Tribolium castaneum: one gene and its partners. The protein of the gene in region 1 interacts with the protein of each later gene in a pairwise test. Links are inferred from orthologs where the notes say so. Each region holds a gene or a part of one and is shown on either strand. Other genes may lie near its edges.

Region 1 (4,334 bases):
TAATTGTGGCTGACATTGTTTTGGTTGTGTGAAAATGTAATTAAATTTTAACGATTTACACATCTCCTAAAAACATTGTTAAATATCAAGTTTCATCAGGTGAAACTTTGCTTAAAACTGTCAATGAAATTTCACAACCAAGTTCCACGAATACGTTAACTTACATGAAACTTCATTTTTAACGAATAATTTTAAAACGGACGCCACACTTCAATTATCACCAGTCTCTTGAGGCTCATCCGCTTCGCCCTGTAACACACAACCCCAACAGGACATTAGAAATTTTCAATTCTTCTAACGATTGATCAACGTACCTGCGTGTCACTTGTCCAGAGTGTGAGGTTGTCTCGGAGGAGCTGCATTATGAGAGTGCTGTCCTTGTAAGAGTCTTCATTTAAGGTATCGAGTTCTGCTATTGCGTCATCGAAGGCCTAAATCGACATTTTGAGTGTCAATACTTTTATAGAAGTACGATTGTAACACACTACTCGGTTATTTAGTTAAGTTAGTATTGCAGGCTGAATTACATGTGGTAAGTGTTAATTCAACCGGTTAATCAGAATGTAAAAAACACACTAATAGTAACACATTTATAACCTGTTTTGCGAGATGACAGGCTCGTGCTGGAGAATTAATAATTTCATAATAAAACACCGAGAAATTTAAGGCAAGTCCCAGCCTAATCGGGTGTGTCGATTGCATTTTCGATTTAGCAATATCGAATGCTTCTTGATACGCCTTTTGTGAATCCTCCACCACTTCTATCAATAAAAATCGAACAATTATTAAACTGTCAGTCGAACAAACTTCAAAGTAAAAACAACAAATATTCAAAAAAAAACAGATCCACCACATGTAATTCCGCCCTTTGCGCTATAGACACTAAGGAAACAAAATTTATATTAACCTGTTTAGCTAACTGACAAGCCTTGTCTGGTGAATTTAATATCTCATAATAGAAAACGGAGAAGTTTAGGGCAAGACCTAATCTGATGGGATGTGTGGGCGTCATTTTTGCCTTTGAGATTTCAAAAGCGTCTTGGTATGCCTTTTGTGAATAATCGACGACGGCTGAAAGCGGGCTATAGTAAATAACAAATCCACATAACAGCCAATAGGGAACTTGGAAAAAAACCGTCGCGATAAATCAATTCCGTTATGTAACAACAATAAAGTGTCAATCACCGTAACTTACCCCACACAAACATAAAATTCGTTGGAAATTAAAACAAGTTCCCCATTGTTGTTTACCCTTGTCTTAAATTCCAACAAGCCAAACACACTCACCGTTTCTTGTGTCTCCTGTGGCTACTTCGGCCAAATACCGGTAGTAATCTCCCTTCATTTTCAAGTAAAAAACTTTTGATTCAGCGTTGCTCGCTTTAGGGATCAAGTATTTGTCAAGAAGACCCTATAATTAAAAACATCCATGTCCTCTCAAATATTTCAAACGCGCCAAGTTCTTTGAAATAAATGCGAAATCAGTTTGATAAAATGTCTTCAAGTATGATTCAGAAGAACGAAAGTTAAATATTTTGACATCATTTGAGTCGGAATGTAGTGGTGAATTTCAAGGGTACTTACGAGGACGTCGTCACAGATCTCCCTTAGTTCCTTTTCGACCTTTTCTCGGTATTCTTTGGCCATCTGCTGTTTGCGTTCTGAGCCCTCAGTCTTTTGTTCAATTGAAGAAATAACTCTCCACGATGACCTCCTGGCACCAACGACATTCTTGTACGCGACAGAAAGGAGGTTTCGTTCTTCATTGCTCAATTCTACTCCGGTTTCTGTGACTGATTTCATAGCCGAAGCCATGTCATCGTACCTTTCGGCCTGTTCTGCGAGTTTTGCCCTCTGCACTAGCTCATCTTTGTCAGGGACAGACATTTTGCTCTAATTCTAAATCTAAACGAGAAAAACTCATGTTATTACATCACAACCGGCAAAAGACACCACCGCACAAACTTAATTTCCCACCTTTTAGCAAAAATCCAATTGTCTAAATTTAGAACGCGGTTTAAGTCAAACGACTTCGCTACTTCCACCCCCTGTGTGTGTCGATAAAATGGTGTAAGAATCTAGCCGGCTCAGATCGACAATATGGCGTCTGCCACACCTTTCCGTGTAATGCGTAGTTAACGGTGGGTTTTTCCCCAAAAACCGAACCGAAAACCCCCCAAAACCGACCATTCAATACCAAAAGCCCGAAATATTCCAATGCCAAAAAACCTAATTGAGTATCGCAAGTGTCACTGCTCTATATTACCACCAGCCGACTGACGTGATACATCCCAAAGGAATTTCGAAAATTTCATACGCCCCGAAACAGTCGCGAAAAGGGGCGACGCAGCCCCCGAGGGGGCTGCGTCGCCTTTCGGCGGAAAAATCGAGTCTGGCGCTGAAGGTCATTGCATGGCGATTTCATTGCACCAAAATGAAGCACGTTGCGGCGCTAATCGGCGGGAATTGGCGCAAAAGGCACGAAAACAGCACTTGTCGTCAATTTCAGGCACAACTTACATTCAAATTCAACAATTTCAGTTAATTTCTCTTTCAGCTTTGGCCGAAGAGTGCACTAGCATACGAGACAAGGACTAGAACACGACTACTGGATCGATGCGGGCTCGCGAACAAACGATAGCGCACAGATTTAATGGCGGCGTTTCAGCGACTCCTCTGACCGGAATTTTCGGCGATTTACGCGCGTTTACAACGATTTCTGGACCAAAACTCTGCACTTTACGCCCCTAGACAATTAAACCTAGTTTTACTCACGTGCTACAAGGGTTGAATACGATTTTTTGATAGAAAAATGGAACGATCCTACCACTAGCGTCCACAACTTAGAAACGAGACGGAGAAACGAGAAGGAACGCTTTTCGCTTCGGTAGAAAAGGATAGCGAGTGGCGCACCAACCGCGAACGATGAAAACCCCTAGATTTGGACAAATTTAAAATTATTATCTTCTACGAGATCACCGGTTTTGTAATACAGTCATGATTCATGGACAATTTTTAATTCTAATTAAGGCGTGTTGGGTACATAACGTACTCGGCCTTCATTCATGGTTCTATTTTCACGTTTCAGGGAAAAACGAGCGTTTTTTGGTCATTACGTTAATTAAACTGTCGATCAGATATGGTCGTTAATTTCATTTCAAACAAATTACGTTTTATTGGTGTGAATTTTAACACACATACACAAAGGTGAAGTGTTTAACGGTAACAAAATAAATAGAGCCAGTGGCGGGGCACACTATCATCTCCTTATCTAATTCATTATTTTCCCTGAATAGAAAAAAATTGTTATTGCGATAAATGTTTTCACAACACCCGTTTGCGCACTTGTAAACTGATCTCTGCGTTGTTTTGTCTAAGTATCAACCAACGAAAAATACCTGGAGTATTTGATACGCCCCTGATTAGATTGTAATTTGCATTTTGCACGTAAAACTATTCAACATTTGTATTAAAATTAACTATAATAAAGTCCGTGTTTGTTCAACTTGTGTAGCATCACACTGTAATGGAAATTTATCTGTGACGACACCAATTTTGTAAAATTTTTATTAATATCGGTGCTTTTTTAAATATTTGAAAATAGCTTTATTAAACACTGACTCATAACTTACACCGCTGGTTACTCATACCTGCAATCACATTTTATTTTAAATACTAACAGAAAAATCGGAAACGATTTAATGTCTATCTGTAATGCTCGAAAATATGAGATTATTTAGTACAATCACGTCTATTTTTAAATCGGGTTTTACGTTTACATGCATACAGGCTGTCCGTTTTGTGAGCTCCACCACAAGGATCTTACTGATCTCACTTACTTATTATAAAAGATAGGAGGTCGGTTACGTTTGAAAAATTATCAGAATTAAAATTTGATGTCATTTTTATCTTTTGAATTATTGGAAAATCGTAAATGTAATTTTCGTTTTTATTTTTACAAGAAATCTAATTCTATCATTGTATTTTTCAGCCGTTCTTGATGACAGAGTTAGAACACTCAACTTTGTTTTTTTATGGAAACCAGATTTGTTTTTTGTATTTTTTAAAAGTTTTTTATTCCTGATTACAATGATGTATCACATGATATCATTAAATCTTACATGCTGATCAAAATGGAGAAAAAAATATTTTTGTTAAAGTGCTTTGGAAAAAACGCCAACAATTTTGTTTTGGGACAAAATAGATTTTGGAAGTTTAATTGAATATGGATCTGAAACGTTTCTATTTCCGTCAACTAAGCTACATAATAAACTAGTTTATTCTTCGCTGAACAAAACAAGTCCAAGTTATAAAAATTCTGCTGGCATGTTTAA
Region 2 (4,419 bases), about 670 kb from region 1:
TGATGTCCGAAGCCTCTAAACATCAACGAAGCTAAACACCCTGTGTATTACCACTGAAACTGATTATCCTAGTCTAGCCTGTGTACTCCACATAGAAAAAATTTCCAATGTACAAACTAACATCACATTAAATACAAAACTGATAACTTCAATATTTCAACGTAATTTATTTATAGTTAAAATTTAGTAGCAAAAACAGTTTATTTTCATTTCGTGAAAGCGGCGAAAACGGCCCACAGTACCTCCGAAGTGTTTGGTTTGACTGATTCTTGCTCAAAGTCCAAGTCAAGTAACTCTCGTACTCGCTTTATTGCCAATTCGTAGTCGTCGTCATTTAGGGGCGCAAAAGCGTTCTCCAGAACGTCACTAGCATGGGCCAGGAAAATCAACGCCAACATCCGCTTGTCCATGCGCTGGGGGTCGTTCACCCACTTCGTAAGTACGGCATCCTGGATCTGAAAAAGCGGTTTTTTACCCCAAGCCCTCCGCCAGAAATTCAGACACACTTTGCTTAAATTCAAAATAACAAAGTATTTCCCGATCTCTAAAGGGCAAACAATAGTTAACTTGCTTTGCTGCCGAACCAGCTGAAATTTTGCATACATACGTAACCTCCGTGCTATTTAGTTTAATAAGTTAGTTAATTCTGTTAGGATTTTTTAAGACGAAACCAAACCCTTTTTTCCCACAGGAACTAACATATTAACAAGCTAAAATTCATACATACGTAATTTTGTGACATTACAATAATATATACATTATTTAATAATTTGTAAATAATTAACAATTGTAATTAATTTATCAATATCCTGGCCTTTAGTTGAAAAATGGGAATGGGACCAAATCAATTCCAAGTAAAAACACAGTACCCAAAAAATTTTTTGATGAGTTTTTTACATATTTAGCATTATTTTTACGCTTAGGTTCATTTAAATACTTATTAGCAATTCTTTTTCTAAATGAATAAACACTAACTGTAATAAAACATTCCTTTTCCCAAGGTAAAACACCGTATCTACAAAATGTCTTAGAGACAGTCAATCGTAGTCCATTTGTTTACGTAAAAATAACTCATATAGGTGTAAAAAAGAATACATTTATACAATAATATAACTTTTAATCGAACTTTTAGTTTATTATTGGCAATCTATTTTGCTTATTTAAAGCACACAGCAGCACGTTTCTTAAAGTGTCCATGGCAACATTAATAACATAATAACCCAAGAAAAGTGAAAATAAATACTAACTTTTTTAACATTTTTTATTAAAATGATAATCAATTCCATGGCAACGAAAGGTAAACTGATCTCACATTACATTATTTTCAATATTTGTAATATCAATATTTATGATTTCAAAGTGTACCAATAAAAAAACTAACGTAAAGTATTCATGTATAACTCTTTTACGAGCACTCCGGCTACGCCGTCGTGCTCGACAAATCCTGCATATTTTAAATACCTCAATATCCACTTATACTTTAATATCACGTTGTTTTAGATAATTTAATACTCACGTCTTAAACTGTCCTAAAAAAACGATATTTTTAAGTTAAACAATATGAGTAAAGAGTTAGTCATTCAAAGAGGCCGGTTAAATAAGTATTTTTTGGTCTACTGAAAGATTAAAAGCAGATACTGCATTTTAGTTCAAGGCAGTCGAATTAGAGACTAGTATTTTCCAAATATTTGTTATGCACAATCGGTGTCGAATATAATTTACACCAGAGAGTGTAAATAAATACAATAAACTATTCAATAAATAGGAAAAAATAAAGAAAAGGTGAAGAATAAGTTTTTTCTCAGAAACATACATTTGTGCTTATATCTTACAATTTTAAAATTTATAAAAGCTTTGGGAAGGAGTATTGCATAATTACCTCAGTTACACTCTTTCAAAGCTTTTACAAATTTTAAAAACTTAAACTATAAGCAAAAATGATATTTTCTATATACGACGATATAGACTACCCAGAAAACTTAACTAAAAAAAGTGAAGATTTTGAAAGTTGTGGACATAAATACACTTAATTATGTAAAAACGTAACGAAAACAAAAAAATAGAAATGAAGACAATGTAATTAGGGAATAATTCGCAAGTGTAAGTCGTATACTCTTCTTAGTACTTTACCTGCCTATCGTTAAAGTTCTACTTGATCTACTATTTAGTAGAACGGGGCACCCTTTACCACCTGCTGTATCAAAACGTACCTTTTTTATTAAACGGCTTTTGGTGACGTTATCGGTCAGAGGGTGCGTGGTCATATCAAACAGCAGAAAGTTTTGCTTCTCCGTTGTGAGAACCCCCTTCTCGACGAGGTTTTTCGCTAGGCGTTCCCGCACGTTCTTCAGCTGGTAGCGCAGTTTGAGGGGGTTCCAAGTTTCGCCTTAAAAGCACGCAATTAAGTGAACCTGGGGGCAGAAAGGGGCATTTGGAGCATACCGCTGAGGTACTCAATCCAGCTTTGAACCGTTTCTGGTGGATCTGTTTCCTTGAGATGTTTTAAAGCTTCATCTAGGAGGACGTCTCCGGTAGGTGTGTCGTTTTTGAGGATAAGTTTGCGGGTGAGGAGCGCCTTTCGGCGCATACCAGCCCGCTCGAGTTCCACACGTCCACGTAAACCTAACTCGATTAGAATACACCCCCGGAGACCGCTCGAAATGCAGTCGTTCCAAAACGATGTGTAACCCTTAAAAACGACACGGTTAGGTGTGGTGAGCACACGGGGGGCGAAGCCCTACTTCTTTGTCTTTTAAGCCTAATAATAATACTTCTTCCATTAAAGTTAATCGGGTTTCTTTGGAATCGCCCTCGTCTATGTCTTCGTCGTGCTCCTGCTTCTTCTCATTGTTCTGCGATTCTTTCACACCTTCACCTGAGTCACGTATTATGTTTCGTCTTTGCACCAGCCCTTCACTCCGATTCATTTTAATTAAATATCAAATAACTTATTTATTTTCTACAAGACTTGACGTTTAACTGACTTCCATCAACATGGCAAATGTCAAAAGCATGTAGGCTGCTGGCAGAAAACCACTCCGTCCGAAAAATCGACAAATTCGCTCACTTTCTAAGAAAATTATTCATTTCTAGTATTTAACAAACTAAACTAACCCTTCAAGCCTTTTTTTTGGATAAAAAATCAAAAATCGGGAAAAAGTGATTACGTCCTACGATTACGTCACGCTCTTATCAATTCCAATTTAATCCCTTTGTACAGAAAATCTAACAATGCCAAGTAATCAGCACCCACAATTTTTATGATTTCCCCACCACGGGATTTTTTCAAGTTTGGAAAAAATTGTTGTCGAATGGGTTGCATAACCCACCGTTTTTAACCTCACTTTTTGCCACCACATTATTTTATTTAAAAATGACCGAAAGTGATAAAGCCGAAGTTTTCAATTTTTTATTGGAGACTGGGTGTTGCAAAAGGTGCGCTTTACGCTACGTTGGCGATAACACAGCCGATTATGATAATCCACAGGTAAAAAAAAGTCGTATTTTCAACAATTAAAGGTTTTTTTTGTAGCAAAACGGACACGACCAGTTGGCGAAAAAGACGAAATTGAATTCGTGCATAATTTGTCTCGATTTGCTCCAAGATGTGACTCTTGAATCCATGGTTCAGTGTGAAGAACTGGAGGGTGTTAAGGAGTACGATTGCAAGACTTTTATTAATTTCATTAGTTTTCCGGTTGCTGTTCTAATAAGGGAACACAGCATGGAGATTCATATGAATGAGAAGTTCCCCAAGTTTTTTGAAGGTTGTTTGGTTTGCTTGTTGAAATAGTTGAAATGCTTACATTTCAGATCGTAACATTGTTCCAATAAACAGGGCATGGTCCTTGTCAATACAAAACAAACTGGGCGAAAAACTTGGCAAAAAGTTCAATAAAGATTCATTGCTCCAAATCCAGTTTAACACGACTTATGAATTTGAAAAAGAGGTAACGAAAGGACTAACCACTGCTTGTTTAAAAATTAATAAGTTGTATTAGGAGTCGTCAATTATGTTTCTGATGGAAAGTAGACTGAAAAAATCAAATGGACAAAACGAGGGTCTTAGTCGTAACGTAATCGGGGAGTTTTTAAAGACAATAAACACCGAACTTTTCAAAAAACATGCCGCTGTCCCTCCGGAACCGCCCGGGAAAGCTTTAAGTTTCGACCAAGTGGCTTACAAGCACGATTATATTTTTATAGCCGGAAGGTACTGTAAATATTCAAGAAACCTGTTTCAAACACCGTGGGCCAACGACGAAGTCCAAGTAATCAACAGTTCAGTTCAAGAAATTTTATTTAAGTCGCTGGAAAGCGTCTTTAAGTGAGTTTCATCCCTAGTTTTTGTTGTCGTAATTGTGTAACTCCAGATGCAGCAGTTTGGTGTTTTCGTCAAGTGGTCGTGAGGATTTTGAC
Region 3 (4,643 bases), on another chromosome or scaffold:
AAGCAAAACTAATAATTTAAATAAACTAAAACAAACTAATAATAATACTATAATAATAAATTAAGAAACAAGAACTAAAATTAAATTTTACCTAGCCACTAAAGTAACTAATTATATGATTTTTAATGTAATTAAATGAATGAAAATGAATATCATAACTACTGCTAATTTTGTTAAAATTACTACACATTACATATAAAGGTGATTTTAATAGAACATTCGTATTACAACTGCAACTGTAAAAAGTCATGGGATGTCGTGAGTTAATTCTAGGAACCAGAAAAATTATCTTATTAACAAGAGCAATACAGACAATCTTGTTGTTTAGTAATTTATGTAAAAATGCAATACTTGAGATAATTCTCCTAACTTCTAGAGAATTGATATTAAATGTCCTTAAAAGCACTAGTTGGTCACATCTCCTATCGGGGTAATTTTTAAAAGAAATATACCATAGCAGTATTCAAAAATTTTCTTTGGACTGATTCAATACTATTTATGTGTGTGGCATATATAGGTGACCAAATAATTGCACAATATTCTAACTTGGAGCGTACAAGGGCAAAAAATAAGACTTTTAAGGCTCTTAAATTAGTAATAGTAGTTTTATACGCGCTATTAATAATATTTGTAATATGATTCACAAATAAAAGTTTGTTATCAAAGGTAACTCCTAGATCTTTAAATGTGTCTGTTCTTTGTAAAATGTGACCACTAACATTATAACTATACATGATCGGAATTTTCCTATTTGTGTAAGACATAACAAAGCATTTAGGTATATTTAGGTTTAGCCTATTAGCTTCGCACCACTGGAGGAGATTGTTGATGTTATTCTGCAAGACTTGACAATCATTACCGGTTTTTATGATATTATAAAGCTTAAGGTCATCAGCAAATAGAAGACTGTTACAAGTTACTGCTACAGTAATATCGTTTATAAATAATAGAAAAAGTAAAGGACATACAAACTATGAAAAACAAATTTCAGTTCGTCTTAAACTCTCGAGTTGTGAACACAAGCGAATTATGGAAAGTGTTAAACTGCCCGCCATTTTAACAAACGATGTTTTCGAAGTTATATCCTCTTCAGAAAATAAAATTACAGCAAAATGTTTATTATGTGTTGGTGCTAATAAAACTTATAGTGAATTACCGAAAGCCACATCGAACTTTTTGACTCAGTATTTAATTATCCTACTTATTTATTTTTTTCTTATAAGGAATGAACTGAGTTTTTCATACCTAACAATATTTGTTAAATTTCGATTTAAAATCGCAGTGACTAAGAACTTATTCATAATTTATCTGCAAAGCAATTAATCAGAGTTTTTTTTACAGAGAAAGCATCCAGAACGAATGTCTACCATTGATGAAGTTACAAGAAAATGTTCAATTAAATTAGATAGTATTAAGAACATGTAAATAATTTTGTATTGGTATTGATGTATGATTGTACAAGTGCAGATTACGGGAAAAATGTTGAAAAAATTCCTAAAGTCATATTTTAAAAAATCTGGAGCTACAAACTTATTTTGCTAACTTCTTCAGTTTTTATTATTTTTTAATGTTTTTATGTTTCACACTAAGTAATCGTTTCCTAACACAACGATGAATAACTATTTTTAAATTTCACATCAGACTTTAGCAGTTTTTTTAATTAAAAAAAATAAAATTCATTAAAAAAATCACAGTTTGTAGATGTGCCAACGCTGGGAATTATTTCCTAGGAAACCGTTTCAAAAATAATTTATTTTTATTGTTGATCAAATTCTATTGCGATCACAACTGTTAGACAACGTTGCCACATATCATTTATTTAAAATTCGTTATTTATCAATAACTTTAATGCAAATGTAAAAAAAAAATTTTTTTACTATCTTTACCTTTATATGTAAGCAATTCTTTACCACACTCCATTGAGTTGGTGCGCCAGTTTTTGAACACCCGGTATATCGTGACTGTATGCTCTACTGACTATTTTCCCGAAAGAAAATGTAAATAAACACTTTTTTTAATGTTAGTGTTTATACTTGACTATCCTTAAATTCAAAATCCCCACTAAGTATTTAAACACTTTTAAATACATTACTAATGTAGTTGTATTTGGAATTAAATACATTTTCAAAAATTGTATTTGAATTACATTTAATTACTTTGCCAAAAAAGTATTTGTATTTGTATTTAAATACTTCTGAAAATAATTTATACCAATGCTTGTCTGTCCTCGACCCGATCTCCCCCAACTGCGTCTTCAGCTCGTACCGCTCATTGTTCGTAAGATAGTGCTTACAAGCCATAAAAACCCCATTCCTTATCTGCTGCTCGGCCCGGAACTTCTCATTCCCTCCCTCGGTTTTCAAGGCGCTGTATTCGTGCTTGGGGGCCCCGGACGACCTGAAATCCGGTTAAAAATAAGTCCCGAGTGGGAGCATCTCAATTTTTAATTCAAACTATCGATAATCTATACCGGCGGGAGAAAAACACTCTCGCGAACGATTCCGTTCTTTGGGGAGTTACTTTTCCATCGTCGCTGCGATTTTCCGAACTCTGGCAGCGGTTTCGGAAAGCCGCACGTTTGTTGGCGGCGTTTAAGGCCCCCGTGGAAAACTCCGAAGCGCTGTGAGAGCGATGCGGCACGCGCTTCTTGCGGCGCGAACCCGAACGGGAAGTTCGCTCCTGGTAGAACCTTTCGTGACCGATCACTTGAGGCTCTTTCTCCTCCTCTTTCTTATTTATGCTCTGGTAAAGGTTGAACATGCTGGCGGGAGCCAAGAGGCCTTGCGACTGAAGCCCGGCGATTTTCTAAGGCTTTAATGCTGTTAGGGGCTGAGAGGATTCGCGGTAATGCGGCTAAATGGATTCAAAACAAACTGAATTCCTTCCATCTAGTTAACTTTGAATTTGGTGTACATGCAAAAAAGGTGCCGCTCTGCTCACATGAATCCTCTGTCAATAAACGTCAAAAGTGACAGTTGGAAATTCACAAATTGTCAATTAATTAATTTTAAAAATTTCGTTAAAATGCAACTGAATTTTATTTATACTTTTATTGTCGAAGCTTATTTGATGGAGAAAGGTAATATTTGGTGTCATTAATTATGTAAAGCGGCATTTAGACGACCAGATGACAATCATTTAAAAACACATTGTAGTTTGTTTAATTTAGTTATTTAATTAGCGACTGAAAAATGATTATCCTTTGTTCTTTTGTTGTCAAGGATTATGTATGACAACACATTATGGCACTCCATAAAAAAGCATTTATCACTTAACTATTCTCCCGTCATAATTTTACAGCGGAAAAATAAAATCGAATTTTCCCAACTTCTCGCGTTATTTAACGAGGCCGTAACTCCCCAAACAAGTTAAGAACTTCATTGAGCCCAAAATCAATTCTAATCTAATAACTCACCTGCATTTCCTAATCCAAAACACCGCTAGCGCCAAAGCTCCTAAACCTAGCACGACTAACGAGGCCGAAACCTTGTGAAAATTCCATTAACCAAAAGTTAAAAAATTTCGTTTGCAAAACTTACCCACGGATGGGTGTTGGAGGTATGCTGCGGCTTCCTGGACACCACTTTCATCTTTCATGTTTTAAGAGAATAGAGGTTTGTGGTTGGGAGAAAAAGCTACATGTCGCCAGCAACAGGATTCTGATAAAAGCTTGTGTTAACGACGAAAATGAATTACACAAAAGCTCACTTGGCGAATCTAACACCGGAACTGAAATAAACGCCTGAAAGCACGCAAATTGCAAACACGCATGGTATCACTATTGCCGTGAATTGGAATCAGTCGATAAACAAGAGGTGGACGCGTGCGTATTGCTGAGGGTTGTGGGATCAGACGCGCGGGAATTCGGGACAGGGAAACTACAGACGGGTGAAAACTGGGTCACAGTCGCGAATGACGTCACGGGATCGGGAAAGTGGAAGTTTAAAGGGGTTGCCTTGTTGCGGCAAATGGAGTGACGCAGTTAGCGGGCATTGTTTTGTTTAATTGCGACGGGTTTATGACACGCAAAGACGGCTTTCAGGCGCAATTTTGCTTTAATGGAGACATTTAGAAGTCTATTTCAGTTTTCATCAGTTTATTATCACCCTGTTTTAACAATAAGATAAAAGGTTTTTACCAGTTTCAAGTGGTTTTATTTCTCCCGGCGCATCCACCATTTTTCAATTTAATAGATTTCGTAAATTCATAATGCAAGATTGAAAAAAAATATTTTTTAATAGACAATGGTAATGAATCAGAATCTGAAAATAAAATTAAACAATTCTGAGTATAGTCTGTACACAATAAATTTCCAAACTAAACAAAAAATCATGATATACATAAGCTATGTTATGGTAACTTTTGTTGTGAATTTTTTGCATCTTTTTTAAAGTTATCAAGAAAATTATATCTCATTTGGATTGACTGTTGACGTGATGCATCAGATGATTTTCATTGTTTGTGATGGCATAGAATTACAATAAAATTTATACTATCTAGTTTATTTAATTTCCATTTCTTTTAATATTTTTTTTTCTAATTTAATTTTTTTATATGTTTTTAAACTAAATACAATATGAAATTTGATAAAAGGGATTTAAAAAAAACATTTTTTTATGTTTTATTTATTCCTTTTATAACAG

The links. The genes of interacting proteins can lie anywhere in the genome.
Region 2: the proteins of 14-3-3zeta (region 1) and sau interact in binary tests that used the Drosophila melanogaster proteins (3 or more experiments, as listed by UniProt). The link is inferred for Tribolium castaneum from reciprocal best matches to the Drosophila melanogaster genes 14-3-3zeta and sau.
Region 3: the proteins of 14-3-3zeta (region 1) and Slob interact in binary tests that used the Drosophila melanogaster proteins (3 or more experiments, as listed by UniProt). The link is inferred for Tribolium castaneum from reciprocal best matches to the Drosophila melanogaster genes 14-3-3zeta and Slob.

What each region holds. Positions count from the first base shown.
Region 1 is NC_087403.1:7,751,976-7,756,309, forward strand, and holds the start of 14-3-3zeta (14-3-3 protein zeta), read right to left. Parts: upstream 2,935-4,334; 5' UTR 2,776-2,934; intron 2,680-2,775; exon of another isoform or gene 2,521-2,679; intron 2,288-2,520; exon of another isoform or gene 1,978-2,287; intron 1,906-1,977; 5' UTR 1,888-1,905; coding exon 1,585-1,887; intron 1,412-1,584; coding exon 1,288-1,411; intron 1,072-1,287; coding exon of another isoform or gene 908-1,071; intron 762-907; coding exon 598-761; intron 432-597; coding exon 315-431; intron 250-314; coding exon 211-249; 3' UTR 1-210. UniProt on the Drosophila melanogaster protein: Required in Raf-dependent cell proliferation and photoreceptor differentiation during eye development. Acts upstream of Raf and downstream of Ras, and is essential for viability.
Region 2 is NC_087403.1:8,423,544-8,427,962, forward strand, and holds the start of sau (Golgi phosphoprotein 3 homolog sauron), read right to left. Parts: upstream 2,928-4,419; coding exon 2,742-2,927; intron 2,690-2,741; coding exon 2,443-2,689; intron 2,387-2,442; coding exon 2,211-2,386; intron 456-2,210; coding exon 207-455; 3' UTR 1-206. Other genes in the region: tRNA pseudouridine synthase Pus10, read left to right, coding at 3,374-3,487, 3,533-3,767, 3,814-3,950, 4,002-4,327, 4,374-4,419. UniProt on the Drosophila melanogaster protein: Phosphatidylinositol-4-phosphate-binding protein that links Golgi membranes to the cytoskeleton and may participate in the tensile force required for vesicle budding from the Golgi.
Region 3 is NC_087399.1:3,728,533-3,733,175, forward strand, and holds the start of Slob (slowpoke-binding protein), read right to left. Parts: upstream 2,928-4,643; 5' UTR 2,761-2,927; coding exon 2,471-2,760; intron 2,398-2,470; coding exon 2,212-2,397; intron 1-2,211. UniProt on the Drosophila melanogaster protein: Regulator of calcium-activated channel Slo. Increases or decreases the voltage sensitivity of Slo, depending on the absence or presence of 14-3-3-zeta in the complex, respectively.